Linked DNA regions of Arabidopsis thaliana. The protein of the gene in region 1 interacts with the protein of each later gene in a pairwise test. Each region holds a gene or a part of one and is shown on either strand. Other genes may lie near its edges.

The links.
Region 2: the proteins of MLO3 (region 1) and AT5G38990 interact in a protein complementation assay, tested with the Arabidopsis thaliana proteins (one large-scale study listed by BioGRID).
Region 3: the proteins of MLO3 (region 1) and AT1G66830 interact in a protein complementation assay, tested with the Arabidopsis thaliana proteins (one large-scale study listed by BioGRID).
Region 4: the proteins of MLO3 (region 1) and CNGC18 interact in a protein complementation assay, tested with the Arabidopsis thaliana proteins (one large-scale study listed by BioGRID).

The regions. Positions count from the first base shown.
Region 1 is NC_003074.8:16,615,635-16,621,901, reverse strand, and holds MLO3 (Seven transmembrane MLO family protein), read right to left. Parts: upstream 4,505-6,267; 5' UTR 4,317-4,504; coding exon 4,167-4,316; intron 3,821-4,166; coding exon 3,763-3,820; intron 3,589-3,762; coding exon 3,386-3,588; intron 2,760-3,385; coding exon 2,643-2,759; intron 2,512-2,642; coding exon 2,451-2,511; intron 2,358-2,450; coding exon 2,269-2,357; intron 2,166-2,268; coding exon 2,091-2,165; intron 2,005-2,090; coding exon 1,916-2,004; intron 1,840-1,915; coding exon 1,790-1,839; intron 1,687-1,789; coding exon 1,646-1,686; exon of another isoform or gene 1,565-1,645; coding exon 1,391-1,564; exon of another isoform or gene 1,365-1,390; intron 1,317-1,364; coding exon 1,281-1,316; intron 1,170-1,280; coding exon 1,102-1,169; intron 993-1,101; coding exon 932-992; intron 805-931; coding exon 550-804; 3' UTR 532-549; downstream 1-531. Other genes in the region: IVD (isovaleryl-CoA-dehydrogenase), read left to right, coding at 97-243.
Region 2 is NC_003076.8:15,607,136-15,612,189, forward strand, and holds AT5G38990 (Malectin/receptor-like protein kinase family protein), read left to right. Parts: upstream 1-1,549; 5' UTR 1,550-1,688; coding exon 1,689-4,331; 3' UTR 4,332-4,529; downstream 4,530-5,054. Other genes in the region: AT5G39000 (Malectin/receptor-like protein kinase family protein), read left to right, coding at 4,725-5,054.
Region 3 is NC_003070.9:24,929,350-24,934,835, reverse strand, and holds AT1G66830 (Leucine-rich repeat protein kinase family protein), read left to right. Parts: upstream 1-1,898; 5' UTR 1,899-2,001; coding exon 2,002-3,451; intron 3,452-3,528; coding exon 3,529-4,136; 3' UTR 4,137-4,413; coding exon of another isoform or gene 4,414-4,743; 3' UTR 4,744-4,938; downstream 4,939-5,486. Other genes in the region: PMI2 (PLASTID MOVEMENT IMPAIRED protein (DUF827)), read left to right, coding at 1-838; AT1G66820 (glycine-rich protein), read right to left, coding at 4,414-4,743.
Region 4 is NC_003076.8:4,807,545-4,812,643, forward strand, and holds CNGC18 (cyclic nucleotide-gated channel 18), read right to left. Parts: upstream 3,550-5,099; 5' UTR 3,354-3,549; coding exon 2,889-3,353; intron 2,728-2,888; coding exon 2,515-2,727; intron 2,431-2,514; coding exon 2,120-2,430; intron 2,044-2,119; coding exon 1,932-2,043; intron 1,829-1,931; coding exon 1,592-1,828; intron 1,507-1,591; coding exon 724-1,506; 3' UTR 547-723; downstream 1-546. Other genes in the region: AT5G14860 (UDP-Glycosyltransferase superfamily protein), read left to right, coding at 24-215. UniProt on the Arabidopsis thaliana protein: Cyclic nucleotide-gated ion channel required for directional pollen tube growth into the transmitting tract. Acts as a Ca(2+)-permeable divalent cation-selective channel inhibited by either lanthanum or gadolinium.

The DNA.
Region 1 (6,267 bases):
ACCAGCAAAGCAAACCTCCGAAGGGATCATAACTACACATATTGATCACCTAGTTACCTTTCCTTTAAGACTAAAAGATTTGGTTTGATGTTGCAGGCGATACAATGTTTAGGCGGAAATGGATACATAAACGAATATGCAACAGGACGCCTTCTAAGAGATGCAAAGCTATATGAAATCGGTGCAGGGACAAGCGAGATCAGAAGGATTGTCATCGGTCGCGAGCTTTTCAAAGAAGAATAGAGATAAGTCTGTTTTCTGCATTGCCAATGCGACATTTTCATTCTGTACACGTATATATAATTCACAGTGTCCTTAATAACCTCACAATAAGAAAAATAGCTTCAAGCAATCCTCTAGAAACCATATCAATTATTAGTCACATTATGTGTGACATGTTATCACGATACCAGCATGCCAATCTAACACTGACACTTCTGGTTAAACTTACTATTTTGTCATTTGATTCGTCAATAATTAGTAAAGGCAACTCTAAAAAGTTCTTAACAATAATACCAACAATCTCTTTCTCATTTTCCATCAATCTGATCACCTTTCAGTTTTCTCTTGTATCTGTATCTCTTGTAAAATCGGCGATTGTCTACCCGAAAATCTAAACTCAGAAGCAACTTCTGTCTGAACCGGACTTTCTCCAGAATCAATATCACCATTGTTATTGTTACTGTTGTTGTCGGTGTCTGGCGTTTGGATAGTCTTTTTCTTGTCTCTAACCATCCCTTGCCAGTGCCTTAACACATTTGCTAGTTGTTCTTCTAAGATTGCTCTCTTGTAGCTTGACCCCATCTAAACACATATATATATGCATCCAAATCAAATTCAGATCACTAGGTTACACTAACAGTAATAATTTATATACTAATGCAAAACGATTTAATTTAAAAATGGTGTTATATATATTGGACTAAATTACCTGAGTTACAATGGCATAAAGAGGCAATGTAATGTAGCTGCTCAAGAACTGGACTGTCACCCTATAAATCATAATATCCTTAATATTAACGATATGATTTTTAATACAAAAATATAATTTCGAAAATGTAAATAATTTGTGGGATAAAATAAATAAATTGTAGTGCTTACGCTAATACAAGTCGTGTGATTATGATCCCTTGGTTATCATGGTAGCAAGAGTTAATCCCAAATTGCCACTAATTTCATAATTAAAATTATAGATACATCACATATAACAATTTCCTATATTATTTTTCCCTTTCTTATAAATCCAAATATTAAAATCCCTATAAGAAATTAGAACTTACAGTGATCCACACAATAAATGCCATCTCGAAGGTGTTCTGTATTAGAAAAATTAATGTTGGCATTATGATGAAGCATTAGGAAAAACGACATGTAGTTTATAAAAGATTACCAGAAACAGCGTGTAGTGTAGAATGCTTAAGAGAAAACGAGGATTGGAAAACCAGAAATGCGTGTCGTTTGACTCAACGAGAGGGGTTCCTCTAATTACACTGTTATTCTCCTTAATTGTGACCGCCATTTTCGCTACTATCATCTCTAGTTTCGTCCCGATCACTAAAACTATCTACGTAACAATATTAGTTCGTCAATAATTTGAGTTACACATATAGTTAATTAGTCTTAACTAGATTAAATTAGCTCTTACAATGAGTGGCACAAATGACATATAAAAATATACTCTCCAACCTGATGATTAAGAAAAAAAGAAGAAGATAAGATAAAAACGAGTAATCACTAATAATTATTTTAATTTAACTATTTAAGCTAACAAATATATAAATTAAGTTACCAGAAACGTCGAGGAGCATAAAGATGACCACAGTTAGCCACATTAAAGGACTGTAACAAAATTAAAAAGTTTATTTGATTTAACTTTGTTACTTAAGATTCATGTAAAATACACAAATATGACTACCTTATACCAACCACAGTTTTAAAATCTTCATGTAAAGATCTCTGTATATAGTTTTGGAAGTTGAAAGCATTATTTGACGATACATGAGCCTGCATCAATAATCAAAATAACACATTAAATTTAAAATTTATTTATTTTTAAATAATTATTCATTGACAAAAAATGAGGTACTAACAAAGATGAACCCATGCCGAAGTGTGAGGTAATCTACTTTCGCCACTGAGTTGTAAAATTGCCTGAAGAAACATTTCTAAGAAGAAAAAAACTTAATTATTAATATAGTTAAACCTATATATTTGAGATAAATGTTAATTAACAAATTAATTAAAGATTAATAATAGGTACGAACTTACAATCCAAAGTTGAAATGATGTTTCAGTCCATGAACTCAGGTGTCGTCGAGCAAATGTTGTATCTCTTGTTATTCTAAACCTATTCGGATCTTTAAATTTTCATAAAATATTAATTAACTTATCGACTAAGAAATAATTGACATTGCATGTAATTTCGTAGTAGAAAAATACAAAAATCTTACCGTTTGCTGCTAGATACTCCACTGTTTGGGTCTCTTTCTCCCACGAATTCCATTTTCTCATCTATATGTATTACGTACACAAAAAACTTTGTATGTAAACAATAGTAAAAAACCATGTCACAAATTATTGAAGTCTTTATTAAACAATTGTAATGTTATAATATTTGATTGCATAGTGTATATATGTAGTACCTTGGCCATTCCAAGGAGAAGAATAGCAAGATTGCAGAGAATATGCATGCATGCCAACACAAAGAAGAAGTAACTCAACTGAGTCAACCCTTCTTCTGATATTAGTGAAGTCTTACCCTGCAAATTTTATTTTATTAAATCGGATTAGTTACTTCGAAATAAAATTTACTTTAGTAAGCAAAGAAAAAGTCATACTCTTGATATTTTGTTCATAACTCAACAATTTTTTTTTTGTTTTCTTTTTTATTTGGACGTAATTTTCTTGATTAGTGGACTCTAGCTAACGACAATGTCCAAGACTCCAAGTCAACGTCAAAGTAAACTAGTTGACATTTTTGGATTTTGCGGTCCTCTCTCCCTCCATCTTGGATTTCAAGAAGATATCTTAAAACTTTTGGATTCAGAAGTTTCATAAGTTAAGCATATAAAAATGTATATGATTAAATCTCTTATTTAAATAATCATATTGTAGAATAGTAAGCAATAAAAGGTTATGAAAACTGGAAAATCATTTAACGAAAATTCATAAATCAAAAACTAAATTGTGTGATTGATTAAGAAAACAAAATTGCTGCATAATTTCTATCTACAGTTTCACTGGTCATCAAAACTTTTGTTTTTCTAAGTTAAAACCTTTGTATACTACTTTTATACATTATATATATGTCCACCTTGGATTTAAAGATAAATGAAAATAAAACTGTAAAATGATTTTAATTAAAGATCAAAGGGTCAAAAAGAACCTTGGAAGAGCATTGATGAAAGAAGCTGTTGTCATGATTATCACCATCATCATCATCATCATCTTCACTAACATCATTATGTGATTTTATGGTTTTACGGCATGGCAACATTCGATTGGCATACTTTATAGGAATGCATATCTTCGAAACTTCTCCTTCAGTTACATTTAGCATTAGTGACATGAATCCTAGCACCATTAGAACTGCCCTTACAGAACATTAAAAATTCAGAGATTAATAAAATTGGAAGAGATATTTCAATTGATTTTCATATCCAAAAATTTAGGATTTTTTTTTACTATAAGATGTTTGAGCTTTTTAAATTAAACAAAGATTGATGACCAATGAACTTTTCTACGAATGGGACAGTTTTTTACCTGATTTGAGCTTCTCTACAGCTTCAAGTAGCGACGTTTTTCTATTTTTCTTAAGTCTCTGCAAGAAAAGAGACAATATATATATAATACAGTTTTGTCTTGAACTTTCGACTCGCTTTTTATTTTTTGTTGAAATTTCAACTCATGTTATCTAGCTGATATTTTTCGAAAATGGTTAAAATATTAAAATACATTTTTATTAACATACATATTTACTACTTCACCTATATATCTAATTTAATAAAATATAAATATATCCAATTTAAATTCTTGCAAGTGTAAACCAAACTCTACTTTTCCAAGAACAAAAAATTTATAAAAAAAACTTAAAGAGATTAGTCAAAATTTAAACAGTGTATAGAAGAAAGTATATATGATCCTATAATATACATATTTGTACTTACAGTGGATAGAAGATTGATGAGACGCTCGAGGCAAATGGAAACAGCGATGAAGAAGAAACAAACGGTGGCCAGAGCCCAAGTGGGAGTTTCTTGGAGGGATCGGACGGCGCCAACCTCCGAGGAGTGGTTGCTTTCTTCTTTATCCGTCATCTCTTTATATTTTTCCCGGTGACTGATTTGTTTAGTTGAGAAGATGAAGAATTAGATATGTGGTGGAAAATATAACTATATATCTATTAATATTGTCGCAATCATTGTTGTGTTGCAATCAAGAACTTGTCAAAGTTTCTAGTAAACACTGACGTTTAAGCTTTAAATGTGACATTAAATCCCAAGTCCCACTTCATACGTACTGCCCTGTCTTGACTTGGTAAGACTTAATATTATTCTTGGGTAAACTTGATAAGTAAATTAAAATAAAAAAATTTTAGTTAGTAAACTAAAAATGGATTGGAGTATTGGACGGTGAAAACCGACAATGTAAAGAAAGGATAAAACAGTTTCTAATTTTCTGCAATTATAGTCGATTTTACTAGTTAACTTTTAACTTTTAATTTAGTGGGTATATTATTTATTAAATGGAAATTAGAGTTATAAATTATAAGTTTTTGAGTTTGATTTTGTTAGACGTTCATTTGATAGTTCAGAAAACAAAATAGCACGTTACAAATATAAGTTCATTTTAATGTTTCTAGTAAAAACTAAATGAGAATAAAAACAAAATTAAGGAATATACTATGTAATGAAAATTTCTTATTTGTTGCCCTTTTTGTGTATATTATGAAAATTTCACCGTGGCCGTGAGAAGGGGTTACACATGTAAAAAAAAAAACTATGTAATGAACCCAAATCATATTATTGATATTTTCTTAATTTCATCAATAAATATTGCGATCTACCAAATTCACCTTCTTTTTCGGTTTAACAACCACATCAATATATAATTTTTAATACAAGAACGGAAATGACAATAAAAAAAATGATTACTTACTTCACAACATGATAACAAAACAAAACCAATATGACATCGTAAAATATTCTGGATGAACATTTGAACAAACATAATTATACGTACATTTTCTTAAGCTTATATATATATATAGAGATAAAAATAATGAACTTATATAGTTTTCAAAATTGTTGGAAAAAAAATGGAGGGTTCTAAGTCTAAGGTTTTTATTGTGCTTGATTAATTTAAAAAAAAAAACAAGAAACTAAAGCTAGAAATTAGGATTTAAATCATATCCAAATGGCCAAATTAAATGATGAGAACATTTTAGAGAGAAATCCCAACCACGTCTGATTTTATCATCCGAGCAATTCAGGATCCTTTTTTCTCGACTAAGCTCAGATCATCTTTGTTGTATTTGTTTGATGGCTGGTTTCCAGTTTCTTCGTCGAAACCATGTCTAGTGAATATCATTTTTTTGTTCTCTAGCTTTCTTCTCTTTTGTTTTGTTTTGTTTCCGTTTTTCTTTTACAATCTCATTGGTTTTCTCTAGTGATTGCAAAAACGTTGGAATCATAACAAAGAATCCTTTCAAATCTATCCGTACAACAGCCGCCCCACTGAGCACACTATAACACAAACTAAAAAAGATCTGATATATCGATGTTTGTATTATGTTGCAAATTAAACCAAGTTCCGACCCACTCAAGAATTAGAGCTTTAACAATCACGGGTGAAACGTATTTTTACACAAAACAAACATAAATTAAAATAAAATAAAAACATTAATTACATGTTTTATTATATACAGACAAATATTAAATATCAATAATTTTATCAAATAATTTATTTTAATCGTTTCATCCCACACTAGATGCGAGTTCTTATCTAGTTATAAGTTTATAACATAATCGTCGACAAAAGCCTATACGTTTTTTACTTAGGGCTGGCTCAAAATAATTAAAAATCATGTGCTAAAAAAAAGAATTGGTCATCATTTCCTATATTTTATTTTTTAATAAAAATTTGGACCCTAATTGTAACAGATTTACTTATAAAAAAAAATGTTGGATGGACCATGTGCATCAGCTCCTCGAGCACATGTAAGGGGTTCAAATCATTTTGTTATTAATATTATCAGTATATATGATA
Region 2 (5,054 bases), on another chromosome or scaffold:
TTTGTGTCGTTCTAAGCGTTTGGGAAATAACTTGCTTGTAACAAAATGTACGGTGTCTGTTTGTTGCCAAATTATTGAGTGTTGTTTCTTAATAATTTTCTTTAAAGTCAGCGAAGTAATTATTCTATAAAAACTAAGAGTTGCTCTATCTAGATATATATACAATTGTGGACTACTTCTTTAAAAATTAAATAAATTGGTAAAGTTTAAAGGTACGTCTCCCAAGCAGAAACTGAACTAAAGAATTCAGGACCAAACTCCTCTGAAGGGAAACACTCAAAAAACAAAAACAAAAAAAGATTCATTTGGTAAACATAATAATAGTGAAGAAAATATAATATGCCAAAAGTGGGTTTTGAACTCATGTCCTTATGGAAGTGCAAGTTTACGTATTAATGTATTATTCAAGTGTACTAATCGCAAGTAAGAAAGGACGAGAAGTTCAGAAGCTGTGTTCGGGATTTGTTGCTTTTCCTTCAGTGTCTCTAGTCTGTTTTAGTTCTCGGATTTTTATTGGTTTATGTCTAAGTGTTGTACGTAGTCTACTTATTCTAATTTTAGATCGTGTTGTTTTAGTGTTTCTTGCTAGTCTCCGAAGTTTCTTTATTCGGCTTTTTCTCCTGAGATACCAAAGTATATTTTAATATGTATATGTTGGCTTTGTTTTATTCGTGTTCTTCGGTCCTTTGATGTATGTTCTCAGCCTTTCGACAACAAATCCAATATATAACTTAGATGACAAAGAAAAGAAATAAAAAACCTCATATCCTTATATACTATCTGAAACTAGCCATTTAAACAACCTTCGCTATTTATTTTACTTAAGCGATGAATGGTAATTGATGTACAAAATCAGACAAGTAGTAAACTTAGGGGTTTTTAGTAAGCTTAGTTCGTATCGAGAATCAATGGACGTAACTTTGAGGTTTAACTCTCCTCCTTAACACTTTTTATGATATATCAAATCAAATATATTTTTTTACTAAGATTGGTGTTCTTCAATTAATGTTTCATCTCTTTTAGGTTCTTTGCACAATAAGTTTTTCATGAGCTATCTAAGTTCTTAGCTTATTTTCTATCTTAATAAAGCTTTCAATCATTGTTATAAACATAATTTTCCTCTTTTAAAATAAACGTATATGTAAATAAGTAATATATTCACAAATAAATATAAAACTTTAAAACTAAGATACTGAAAAATATTTTTGATAGTTTTATAATTAAAAATCAATCTCTTTTTATATCTCAATTGTAAAAAACACTGCAAAACAAACCTCAATATAAACAATATTAGTTATTTTCCACAACCAAATTTTACATTACAAATTTACAATTATATCTTCTAGGCTTGCTAAGTCTAACTAACTGAAGCTCATAGCATGTGGTTTGATTTTAACCTATTTACTGGAACCCTCTAAAATGAACCCAAAGCTCTAAAAGAGTCGAGCTTTTTTGGGTTTGAGTCTGAGGGTAGACTAAAACAACAAATGAGTCAATTTGCGTCATCTTTTAATTCTTGGACCTTAGGCAAATTGACCCCACGGAAGAAAAACTTCATCGATACCTTCTTGTTTTGCTTGACCTGAAAAGTCAATGGTTGACCAAGTGAGTCACTCACCACCCATTAGTCTCTTATCTTCTCAAAATTCTTCAATTCTCTTCTCGTTTTTTTTTTTTTATCAATTCCAATGATCTGTCACGTTTTAGTAATTTTCACTATTCTCGTTTCCGCCGTCGTCGACGCAACGGCGTCGTATGAGCCCACTGATGTCTTTCTCATCAATTGCGGCGATACCTCCAACAACATGGACTACAGTGGCCGGAACTGGACGACGGAGAATCCGAAATTTATGTCATCGAATGCAGTTGACGACGCGTCGTTCACTTCATCTGCGTCATACCAAGAATCAGGGATTCCTCAAGTGCCGTACTTGAAAGCTAGGATTTTCCGATATGATTTCACTTACAGTTTTCCAGTCTCTCCCGGCTGGAAATTCCTCCGGTTATACTTTTATCCGACCCGTTACGGATCCGATTTCGACGCCGTTAAATCCTTCTTCTCCGTCAACGTCAACCGTTTCACTCTCTTGCATAACTTCAGTGTAAAAGCTTCCATACCGGAGTCAAGTTCTCTAATCAAAGAGTTTATCGTTCCGGTTAACCAAACTCTTGATCTCACGTTCACGCCCTCTCCGAATTCATTAGCTTTCGTTAACGGAATCGAGATTATCTCCATGCCTGACCGGTTTTACTCAAAGGGAGGATTTGACGACGTTGTAAGAAACGTTGGTAGGGACGTTGACTTCGAGATAGACAACTCCACGGCTTTCGAGACCGTTTATCGGGTAAACGTAGGTGGAAAAGTGGTGGGCGACGTCGGAGATTCGGGAATGTTCCGGCGTTGGCTTTCCGATGAAGGTTTCTTACTCGGTATTAATTCGGGAGCCATTCCGAATATAACAGGTGTAAAGATCAACTACACGGATAAAACTCCCGCGTACGTTGCGCCGGAAGATGTATACACGACGTGTCGCCTGATGGGGAACAAAGACAGTCCTGAGCTAAACCTGAATTTCAACCTGACGTGGCTCTTTGAAGTCGATGCCGGGTTTGCCTATATAGTGAGGCTTCATTTCTGTGAGACGCAACCGGAAGTCAACAAAACGGGTGACCGCGTCTTCTCCATCTTCTTCGGATATCAACTGGCCATGCGTGAAATGGACGTGTTTCGGCTGAGTGGTGGTTTTCGGCTACCGATGTATCTAGATTTCAAGGTACTTGTCGACGCCGACGGAACTAGCCAGAGACCTAGTCTTCGAGTTGACTTGACACCTTACAAAGAGGACTATCCAACCTATTACGACGCTATTTTGAGTGGTGTAGAGATTCTCAAGCTGAGTAATTCTGATGGTAATCTTGCGGGGCTTAATCCAATTCCTCAACTAAGTCCACCACCACAATCTATAACGCCACTAAAAGGAAAAGGCAAGTCATCACATGTTTTGCCAATAATAATTGCAGTGGTTGGTTCTGCAGTTGCGCTAGCGTTTTTTGTTCTTGTTGTTGTCCTCGTTGTTATGAAGAGAAAGAAGAAGAGCAACGAGTCTAGTGTAGATACCACGAACAAGCCTTCTACGAACTCGTCATGGGGTCCTCTTCTGCACGGGACAGGCTCTACAAATACAAAATCTGCCTCATCTCTTCCATCAGATCTCTGCCGTCGATTCTCCATCTACGAAATCAAATCCGCCACAAATGATTTCGAGGAAAAACTAATCATAGGAGTAGGCGGGTTTGGTTCTGTCTACAAAGGACGAATAGACGGTGGAGCCACACTTGTTGCGGTTAAACGGCTGGAAATTACATCGAACCAAGGTGCTAAAGAGTTCGATACAGAGCTCGAGATGCTTTCAAAGCTTCGACATGTACACCTCGTCTCTCTAATCGGATATTGCGATGACGACAACGAGATGGTACTTGTCTATGAGTATATGCCACATGGTACACTTAAAGATCATCTTTTCAGGAGAGACAAGGCCTCTGATCCTCCATTGTCATGGAAACGAAGGCTAGAGATTTGCATTGGAGCAGCTCGTGGATTACAGTATCTTCATACTGGAGCCAAGTACACGATCATACATAGAGACATCAAAACCACAAACATACTTCTCGATGAGAACTTCGTCGCTAAAGTATCTGACTTTGGTTTATCAAGAGTTGGTCCTACTAGTGCTTCTCAAACGCATGTCTCCACCGTCGTTAAAGGAACGTTTGGTTACTTGGATCCCGAGTACTATCGCCGTCAAATCTTGACCGAAAAATCCGACGTGTACTCTTTTGGAGTTGTTCTGTTGGAGGTTTTGTGCTGTAGACCGATCAGAATGCAAAGTGTTCCACCGGAACAAGCAGATTTGATCCGATGGGTGAAGTCAAATTTCAATAAAAGAACCGTTGATCAGATCATTGACTCAGATTTAACCGCTGATATCACTTCGACCTCGATGGAGAAGTTTTGTGAGATAGCCATTAGATGTGTTCAAGACCGTGGTATGGAACGGCCACCGATGAACGACGTTGTTTGGGCGCTTGAGTTTGCTCTTCAGCTTCACGAGACTGCTAAGAAGAAGAATGACAACGTGGAGTCTCTGGATCTAATGCCAAGTGGTGAAGTTGGTACGACCACGGACGGAGAAGATGACTTGTTTAGTAGGACTACAGGACACGTTGGGAAATCGACCACGACCGATGACTCTGTTCTAGTTGTTGGTGATGAGAGGAGTGGTTCGAGTTGGGGAGTATTTTCGGAGATCAATGAACCTAAAGCACGGTAGATTTGATGGCTTGGTAAACAAGTATCACATTCTGGTTAGGGTTGATATATATTTGTGTATGTATAATTGTTGAATAAACACATTATTGTATTTAAATTACATTTTGATGATTATTTAGCAGCTTAAATTTAGATATTATATACTTGCTTTTATTTGACCAGAGATAAAGTTGGATTTTTTTTTGGCGGTTCGTAACGGTTGAGAATATGTTTGACATTTGTCTCAAAATGCAATCAAAAAAGTTTTGCAATATAAAATTTTGTTAAATACAGTCGTTAAAAAAAACAAAATTGTTAAATAAGTTCCTTCGCCATTTCACGTGGCTCTTAAGTCATAACCTAGTTATGAAAAATGAAAAACACCTAATCTTTTCTTTTTCAACTTCAATACCAAATGATCCGTCACGCTTTGTTAATATTCTCTATTCTCGTTTCCACCCCCATAGTAGGAGAAGGAGCAACGTCGACGTATGAACCCACCGATGTCTTTCTCTTCAACTGCGGCGACACTTCAAACAACGTCGACGTTAGTGGCCGAAACTGGACGGCGGAAAATCAGAAAATTCTATCGTCAAATTTAGTCAACGCTTCGTTCACTGCACAAGCGTCATACCAAGAATCAGGAGTTTCTCAGATTCCGTACATGACAGCTCGAATATTCCGATCTGAGTTCACCTACAGTTTTCCAGTCACTCCCGGTTCAAATTTTCTCCGGTTATACTTT
Region 3 (5,486 bases), on another chromosome or scaffold:
GCTTGAGAGACTCAATACGAAGCTGCTTATTGCGAAAGATCAATTAGAAGCAGTATCTAAAGCTGAAGAAAGAATCAGCTATCTTGCTGACAATTTAACTACTTCGTTTGAGAAACTAAAGAGTGATAGAGAAGCTGCAAAGAAAGAGGAGCTTAAGCTTAGAGAAGAAGCAAGGATCATCAACAATGAGATACAGAAAACCGAAACAGGATTTGATGGAAAGGAAAAAGAGTTGCTTTCCAAGTTAGATGAGCTTGAGAAAGCGAAGCACGCAGAGAGTTTAGCTCTAGAGAAGCTTGAAACAATGGTAGAGAAAACAATGGAAACTCGAGAAATGGAATCTCGGCGTAATTCAACTATTACAATATCGAGATTTGAGTACGAGTATTTGAGTGGAAAAGCTTGTCATGCTGAAGAAACTGCAGAGAAGAAAGTGGAAGCAGCAATGGCGTGGGTCGAAGCACTAAAGGCTAGCACTAAGGCGATTATGATAAAGACAGAATCTTTAAAGAGAGTGAGTGGGAAAACAATGTTGGAAGAAGAGAGGGAATCGTTTAGGATGCAGAGGTCGCTATCGATAAAGAGATTGGTCCAAGATGAGATTCAGAAGTTCAAGGGAAATTCAGAAGACAATGGCTTGATCAACTCTCCTAAACCGGTGAGAAAATCGGTTAGGCTGAGCGGGAAATTTGCACCGGTTCAGGGAGGGAAGTCGAGAAGGTACTCATCAGGGAACCGAGCGACTCCAACATTCTTTGTAATCAAGAAGAAGAAGAAAGTTCCAAACATGGTCAAATTTTTTAGCCGGAAGAGGCGTAATTCTTCTTTAGAACAATGAGAAGTTTAGTTATCTTGTTGAAGTGAGTGTAAGTTTTTTTATTGCTTGCGTGTTAAGTTTCACATTGTTTTTAGCTTGTAAGTGATTTATTTGTTTTGTATTTTTGTTATTTTTTGATAATAAAAAAATGATGTATTTATGTAGACTTTAGGTGTATATTAATGAAAATAATGTATTGCATTGTATAAGAGTCAGGTAAATTTTTTCATATTTGATTTTGGTAATTTGAATGGTTTATATCGAACTAGAACCAACAAATTTCATACATGACCAGCCGTTGATAAAAGAAATTTTGGCATAAACTATATTATAGACACACAAATCAAAGTAAATTAAAGTAAAAACGAATTTAATTGTAAAGAATGAATCATATTCATATTTTAAAAAAAACAAAATTATGTACTTGTATCTTTTTTTTCTGGTCAACTAGAAATACATAAAAGATTACCGGCTAAGCTAATTTGTACCACAAACGTCTACAAAATTTTTTATAAATTTATGTTTTATATTTTAAATTAAATGCTCCTCGAAATAATATTTTGCTAATGTTAAAACCAAATTAACTTATAAAATTATGCAACAATCATAGTAGAAATGTTTGGCCATGACTCATAAAATTCACACAAGTAATATTATTGTTTTCATATATTTTTCCGACAAATGTTAACTCTTTTCCCCCAAACTAGTTATATTTGTCTCAGACTCCAAAACAGAAACAAACAATCTAGAAGTAAACTAGAGTACAAATCAAATCGAAACGAAAAACTTAAATTGACCGGCACAACAATAATTCTGGTGGAGATTTGACTTTAGGATTTGGAAGTAAAATTGTCAATACATTACCCCACCACTAACTAAACAACTAGAAACTAGAAAAGCTATTCCTCATTACCTTACGTGTCCCCTACTGTTTCAATTATAGCCTCAATCATCGCTAATTCCATTGACATGTAAATGAGGTATATACAATTTGTTTGATGCATGAATTTAGATATAAGTTTCTTCAAACATATAAATATCTTCAAAAAATTTAGAATTGATAAGAAGTTAAAACTGTTGACTTGATTGAAAACTAGGCCAGTCCAAGCTATATAAACACTAATTTCTTGGAGATATTTAGGAGCCAAACTTTACTCAATTCAGAATTGTGTCTCTCTTTAGAGATGTCTCAGTTATTTCTCATTCTCTGCTTCATTCTAACTCATTTCTTTGCCATAGCCACTTCTCTAAACGATCAAGGTCTTGCTCTTCTTTCCTTTAAACAATCCATACAAAACCAGAGTGACTCTGTTTTTACCAATTGGAACTCTTCAGATTCAAACCCTTGTTCTTGGCAAGGTGTTACATGTAATTATGATATGAGAGTTGTCTCGATTCGTCTTCCTAATAAACGTCTTTCGGGTTCTCTTGATCCATCCATTGGAAGTCTCTTGTCCCTTCGTCACATTAACCTAAGAGACAATGACTTTCAAGGGAAGTTACCTGTGGAACTCTTTGGACTTAAAGGGCTTCAAAGCTTGGTGCTTTCTGGAAATTCTTTTTCCGGGTTTGTCCCAGAAGAGATTGGTAGCTTGAAGAGTCTAATGACTCTGGATCTTTCGGAGAATTCTTTCAACGGTTCGATTTCTTTGTCGCTTATTCCATGCAAGAAGCTGAAAACGCTTGTTCTTAGCAAGAACAGTTTCTCTGGAGATCTTCCAACAGGGTTAGGTTCTAACTTGGTTCATCTTCGGACACTGAATCTTTCTTTCAATCGCTTGACTGGAACGATCCCCGAAGATGTAGGAAGTCTGGAGAATCTGAAAGGTACACTTGATCTTTCTCATAACTTCTTCTCAGGTATGATTCCAACAAGTCTTGGAAATCTCCCTGAGCTTCTCTATGTCGATCTTTCTTACAATAATCTCAGTGGTCCGATACCAAAATTCAACGTTCTGTTGAATGCCGGTCCAAATGCTTTCCAAGGGAACCCTTTCCTCTGTGGATTACCGATAAAGATTTCTTGCAGCACAAGAAACACACAAGTAGTTCCTTCTCAACTATATACAAGAAGAGCCAACCATCATTCTAGACTCTGCATCATCCTTACAGCCACTGGAGGCACAGTCGCCGGAATCATTTTTCTTGCTTCATTATTCATCTACTATCTCCGAAAAGCATCGGCTCGTGCAAACAAAGATCAAAACAACCGAACATGTCATATAAACGAGAAACTGAAGAAGACGACAAAGCCAGAGTTTCTCTGTTTCAAGACTGGGAATTCAGAATCTGAAACGCTAGATGAGAACAAAAATCAACAAGTTTTCATGCCAATGGACCCGGAAATCGAATTTGACCTCGACCAGCTTCTAAAAGCCTCGGCTTTTCTTCTAGGGAAGAGCAGGATCGGGCTTGTGTACAAGGTAGTTCTTGAAAATGGATTAATGTTAGCCGTTAGACGATTAGAAGATAAAGGTTGGCTACGGCTCAAAGAGTTTCTAGCTGATGTCGAAGCAATGGCGAAAATCAAGCACCCTAATGTCTTGAATCTCAAGGCTTGTTGCTGGTCTCCTGAAGAGAAACTCCTGATTTATGATTACATACCAAATGGTGACCTTGGTTCTGCAATTCAAGGTAATTTTAGTGTCAAAATCGCATAAATCTATGACCATAGTTAAGATTCAAGACTGATTCATAAAAATTTATGACAGGTAGACCTGGTAGCGTGTCATGCAAGCAACTAACCTGGACGGTCCGGTTAAAAATATTGAGAGGAATAGCAAAAGGATTAACTTATATTCATGAGTTTAGTCCCAAAAGGTATGTCCATGGACATATAAACACAAGCAACATACTTCTAGGACCGAATCTTGAACCGAAAGTATCCGGTTTCGGTCTAGGTCGTATCGTCGACACGTCTTCAGATATCAGATCAGACCAAATCTCTCCCATGGAGACAAGCTCACCAATCCTCTCTAGAGAATCATATTACCAAGCTCCTGAAGCAGCTTCAAAAATGACTAAACCGTCTCAGAAATGGGATGTGTATTCATTCGGTTTAGTGATACTCGAAATGGTAACCGGAAAATCTCCGGTTAGTTCAGAAATGGATTTGGTTATGTGGGTTGAATCGGCTAGTGAGAGAAATAAACCGGCTTGGTATGTTCTTGATCCGGTTTTAGCTCGTGATAGAGATTTGGAAGATAGTATGGTTCAAGTCATCAAGATCGGTTTAGCTTGTGTGCAGAAGAACCCAGATAAAAGACCACACATGAGAAGTGTATTGGAGAGCTTCGAGAAATTGGTAACTTCTATTTAATTATTATTAATTAATGAAAAGTAATAATTTTAATTAGATTATGTGTTTACTTCATAATTTTCAGATTACTTCATAAATTTCATGTGATAATTTTTATGGTTTTTCTGTTAATCATTCATAATTGTGATATTATTATGAAAAATAAAAGGACACAAGGGAGGATATTTTTATTGAACTTATATAATTAACAAAACTGTTAATACAGTACAAAATTAACATAATGCTTTAAAAATCTTTTACCCAAACCCGACCCGGAATTATGAACCGGAGCTTTTTTTCATAGGTCAAATCTCTCTTTGATGTCATCGAAACTGTACCCGCCGCCAACTCCAAATCCGTATCCAAACCCGAACCCGATACCACAACCAATACCGAATCCAAGAACCACGTTAGAATGGTCAAGTCCTTCAGAGGCACCTATTCCGAGCCCGCCGGAGAGACCAATGCCGATTCCAGCGCCGCAGCCAATGCCGCCGCCGATTCCGGGACCGACGGTTGTTGTCTTGATGTTATCGATTTGTGTACGGAGGAATCTGGTAACCGGAAATTCTGATTTCCCGGTTTTGACGTCTGGTTTACGGCTCCAGAGTTTATTAGTTGATCCCATTGGTTTTGTGATTGGGCAAATGACGATCACTGAATTGTGAATTTATGAGTGATGAGAAAATCAGATAAGATTTGAGAAAAAAGATGAATATGCGTTGAGGTATTTATTGGGCTTATTGTCGCATATATTGGGCTTTAACCCATTTAAGTCTCTACAGATTCTCTCCTATTTATCAGTTTTTTTTAATGATAAAAGATACACATGAGATACAAATTCTTCAAGAAAATGTTAAATACAGATTTGGATTAAGTTATATGATATTTTGTTTTTAAAATGTCGTAGAAAGGGTAAGAAGGTAATTTGGGCAGGGTTGTTGGGTTAGAAGGAAGGAAACATTTTCTAGTTAGTTAGCTACAACGAAAGATTTTGATTGAAGTATATTACACATAGGAAAGAAAGAGGGACCATAGTTAGTTAAAGTTGTGCTCTTTAAGCAAACAAAACTCACATATATTCCTTACCTTACTACGGTCGTTAACAACATGAAACTAAACATACATGCATATATCAAAAAACCAATTTAATCATCAATTCATTAACTATTCTTATTCATGATTGGCCCAACCAAACTTAATAAAATGACCTATTCTTCTTTATTTTTGTTTCTTCAAACACACCAATACATACTTCCTTATTCTCCAAGTTACAAACAAAACCTCCCCTCCTAACAAACTTTTTGTTTCCATCTATTTTTTTTTTCAAAATAGATTTTTGCTTGAGGTTCATATTTATATACTTGCTTA
Region 4 (5,099 bases), on another chromosome or scaffold:
TATTTATTATTTGTACTATTTAGGTTAAACAATTGATGGAGGGAGAGATGGGGAAGACAACGATGAAGAATGTAAAAGAGTATGCGAAAATGGCGAAAAAAGCTATGGCTCAAGGGACTGGTTCGTCTTGGAAGAGTTTGGATTCGCTTCTGGAAGAGCTTTGTAAGAGTAGAGAGCCAGACGGTGTTAATAAGTTGTCAAGTTCTGATGCTTAGAGAGATTAAGGATTGGATAACAAAACGGCTTCGTACCTAATTTTAGTCATTAAATATGTTAGGTTTGTTGAAAAGTTGGTCCATTCTTCTCAATTGGATATGAATGACTAATTTGGAGTTCTAATTCTTGGTTTTGGTCTTATAGTTTCAAAAAATTTCAATTGCATTCAGTGGTTGCTTTATGAGATTTTTGCTATCTTTGAGGTTAATATTGGCTGGTCAATCCGAAGAAGCTATCAACACCTTAGTGTTCTTCTGAAAGACTTAAAAATGAGTTTGTATGCAAAAGTAGTATCTACTATGAGAAGAAATCAGACTATATAACATTGAGACAGTTTAAGAACAATGTATTTTTACTCTACACTCGTTTTCTATATCTAACATCCTCAAACCGAAACGAAAAGAAAAGAAAAATTACAAGTTGAAATAATTAAGGGAGTTTCCTAACTATTTACCATCTAAAACCAAACAGTTCACACAAAAGTTTTTTGCCCATAATGACTACACTTTAAACGTCTTCTTTATCTATAGAGAAATCAGGCTCATCTGGTTTGAATAGTTGAGGCATCTTCAAACTGGTGGAAGATCCATCTTTCTTACCAGTACTACTACTTGAAGCCTTTTGATTTGTTCCTCTTCTCGTGTTCGCCGCAAATTTAGATGCTAAGATCGTTGCTCCCAGATTTGTGTTGTCCATTGATCCGCCTTCCTCGTCACTTCCATAGTAATACTCTCTAGTTTCTTCGTCTTCTTCATTGTAACCTGTTTCATCCGGGTAATAGTATCCGCTACTCTCGTGAAGGCTGAGCTCTTTCGCAAGCTTTCTTCGCTTGTATCTTCTCCATGCAGATTGGACAAAACATGCTCCCCATGCTCTCCATTGATGTGAGTAGTACCTGAAAGCGTGTTGAAGCTTTTTGCTTTGAAGACGTTTGAACTGATGAGCAACAAACTTAAGATCCTCTGCGCTTAATGCAAAGGCTTCTACTTCAGAGAGGGCACGGACGCTTCGTGTTGAAGACGGAAGATTGAGTGTAGAGTTTGGCATTAAGGCCCATGTAAGAAGTTCTTCCCCACAGAAATCGCCAGGTCGTAGAGTAGTGGAGTTGAAGAAACCAGATCTTCCTCCATTTGTTGTTGAGCTCTCTATTTGTCCTCGGATCACAAATAGCATCTCATTCACCGGATCACCTTCACGGAATATGTATGTCCCGGCCGTGCTTAAAGATGAGACAAGGCATCCGCATATAGCATCAAGAAGTTGATCATCCATTTGAGAGAAGAACGGGACCTGCACTTACCACAACAATGTGACTTCTGAATTGAAAAACAATCAAATCCATAACAGTTTTTGATGACTGAGTTGATGTATGTACCCGGCGAACAAGGGAGAGACAAAGATGACGTTGGATTTCACGGCGTAAATCTGTAGGTAATGAATGGAGGATTGATTCTTCATCGACACCTCTGGTTGCAAGCCATTTGTATTGGACAAATCTTCGGACACGTTCTTGAAGCTCTGGAGGTAGTTGACGATGTCTCATCCATTCTTCAGTGTCTCTTCTCTTAACTCTCCATTCCTCAACTCTTACTGACATCGATTGCAGAGAAGACTTTCCACCAAATTAAAAATCATGAAGTCTATTGTTAGAAAGACAAAAAAATGTCTCTGTATTGAAAAGTTTTGCAGAGTGATGCATAAGCTCTGAATCTTACTTGCATGTTACCAATCAGGAGTGTGAAGAGAATCAACCCAAAAATACAAATTGTTATACAGAACAAGGTCTCGCCAAGGTATACACTTGTGGTTATATTCTGTCCATAAGAACTGTGAAACAAAACCTTTATTAAAACCAAAGGAGGACAATTTAAGCAGATACTGGTTAGATAAAAGGTTGTCATACCTTAGATTTCTTAAACCCCACCAAAGACAATACAAGTACTTGGACACAAAATCTGTTGTAGCAACTTGAGTGGTAAAGGCTTCAGCAAACATTCCGAATTTGAAATTGGTAGTGCTGCTTGTAGCATCACAATGAGAAAGGACCTGAGTAACGTTCTGCCAATACTGGCGCTCTGGTTGTTCTAAACTCTTGCAATCCAAGAAGCTAGGAAGACAATCCAAAACTCTCAAAGCGTTGTCTTTCTTGCATACGTTGGACCAGCACGAAAACTGCCGCCCGATTGATGACAGATACCACATTGCTCCTAACACCTGCCCACAAATAGAGATTCTTAGCAACTTAAAACTGAAGAAACCTAAAGATTTGAAAAAACACACAAGATAAAGAAAACTTACGTGACTAGCAAGGATGTACAATAGGAGGTTGTATGCAGCTCCTGCCCAAGCAGTCTTGGCGATAAACCCGGTTGTTTTGATAATCCTTTGGTTGAGTGGGAATATGATGAATGATCTTGGAATGTATTGAACAAGAACGATAAGTGCGAGAGTGCTATTGGCATGATTAGCAGTTCCATTTGTGGCCGCTGGAATTACTAGCCAAATAACAAGCTGAGATCAAAAGATAGTCAGAAACAAAGCATGAGGCTCCCAAAATATCTCTGTTCTTTAATCTTCTAGCTACCGCCTAACGATTTTTGAACATTGATCTTAGCTAATCGTAATCCATATCATTGCTTTCACATTCAAAATAAGAGCAAAATCTTAAGAACCTGAGGAAGGGGAAGCATGGCGGCGACATCAATGAGGAAATCTGTCTTCAAGTATCTCATAGCAATCTCTCTAGAATCCATAACAAGCTCACCGCGACCAAAAACACGAGAACTCCTCGCGACGAACGCAGTTCTGAATTTCATGAAAATGTGCAAGAGGTGGAAGATATCGGCGACTGTACGGAAGAAAGTGACAGTAGCGGCGAGGCTGATGTCGATGGAGAGACACGCCGGACCACCGACGTAAGGGACGTAGAAATAGAAAGGATCGAGGAAGAGAGCGAGGATTGAGGTAATGAGAAAGACGTGGTTCCAATAGGTGACGATGTTGCTGTCCGGGTCCAGGATCTGATGCCGCCATAGGACGCTGAATTGGCTACCGTCAGATCCTCGATTTGAGGCGGCGGTGGAGGCGGAGGTTATGGTCTCCGGGAGGAGGCAGCGGAGAGACCGGATTTTATTCATCTTCCATGGCGGATTCCGGTGTTAAATCGGATTCCGCATTAACACAGAGAGAGATTGAGATTGATGGACAGAGAGGCTAGGTGGTTGCGTCGTGTGATTTTTTGTTTTTTTGGGTTTTTGCATTTTGTTTTTGATGATTATGGAAGAAGGAGAGGATTTCTCGCGGGAAAACTGAGAGAAGGGCCATGGAAATAGGGGGAAGGGTAGTTTTTGAAAATATGATGGGAGAATGAGGGTATTTACGGAATGTTATAGTTGCGGGTCTCGTTTGTTTATGCTGTTTTTGTGTTCTCAAAACAGCACACGTTTTGCATCTCAAAACTTCAATCGACACAATATCTACTGTTCTTAGTTGTTGGACCCACCGGCCCAATAGTTATAGATCGGCCCAATAGTTATTTTTTTCTACTTTTTTTCTATGAAAATCAAAGGGATATATACTATATATGCTTTAGGATTTTAAAATTACACATTATAATGTATACAATTGCTATGATCATTTCTATTGATAAACTAATAATGTTTTTAGTAGTTTTAACTTAAAGTCCGGTTTAATATTGTTTAGTTCAATTGTTCAAAGAATAAAAAAAAAAATTATAATTAATTCGTAAAACCATGATAAGATTAGTTAAAATATCTAATTCGTTATGAGGTTCATTAGAATTTATTTAAGTGAATTATTGAAGTTTTATGAGCTACATTTATTATATTTTGTCAACACATTAAACCCGTAATTCAATTATACTGTCTTTTGTAGTATTTCCGTTTTTGACATCAGTTTAACAAATTGTCTTACATAATTCATTTGTTGTTGTTATGTACTATTAAAAGTATATAGAAGCACGCGTACCAAACATTCTGTGACAATATGTGGTAGTGGGAAGATAGTGTACATGCTTGTTGACACCATCCATAAGATAGTGTACCTATAAAATAACAAAAAGGGAATAGAAATCCTTAGAAACAATTATGCGAATATAAAAGGGATAATAAGAAGTGAGAATAATAAAATGAATACTGAAATTAAAAATTACGTCACGGAAAAATGATGTTTATCCACACAAAAAGAACAACAACTTCCATCATATCATATAGAGGGACATACTAACTTTTCCACTTCCAAAAAATCACACTTATGCGTAATTGTTTTCTCTAACAATAATGACGTATTTTAGTCCTTCAAATTTTAGTACTCCATCATTTTCCGATTAGACACAAAGTAGTAATTTCAATATAAAAAATTAATAACAAGCTTTTATAAATGATTATGATAACTTATACTAACATATGTGACAATATTGTTTTCTCTATGCTTGTTAAACGTAATTAAGAAACAATGATGTTAATTACTCCAACTAATTCATGGATCTAGAAATACGATGTTGGTTAAACATTATTATCGACTAATTTATTACTTCGTTAATGGCTGCTATTAAGTATGACCACGTGTGGCAGATTTGAGATGTTTAGCGATCTTTAAATATAGAATCCGACGGGATCCAATTCTCCTCTTTTTTTTTTATTCCACTTTGCCACTGTGATTATATAATAAGTATGATTAATTAAGAGATTTACATTCTATTGATTTACTTTATTATTTTATTCATGTGGAGTAGACTATACGACAACTACTTTATCGTTACTTTTTAATTTTATTTTTTAGTGAAAATTTGCTAGTCAAGTTTAGAAAATTCAAAATAGCATTTCACTTTTATATGCACGATTGATTTCGTTGCTTATATTAAG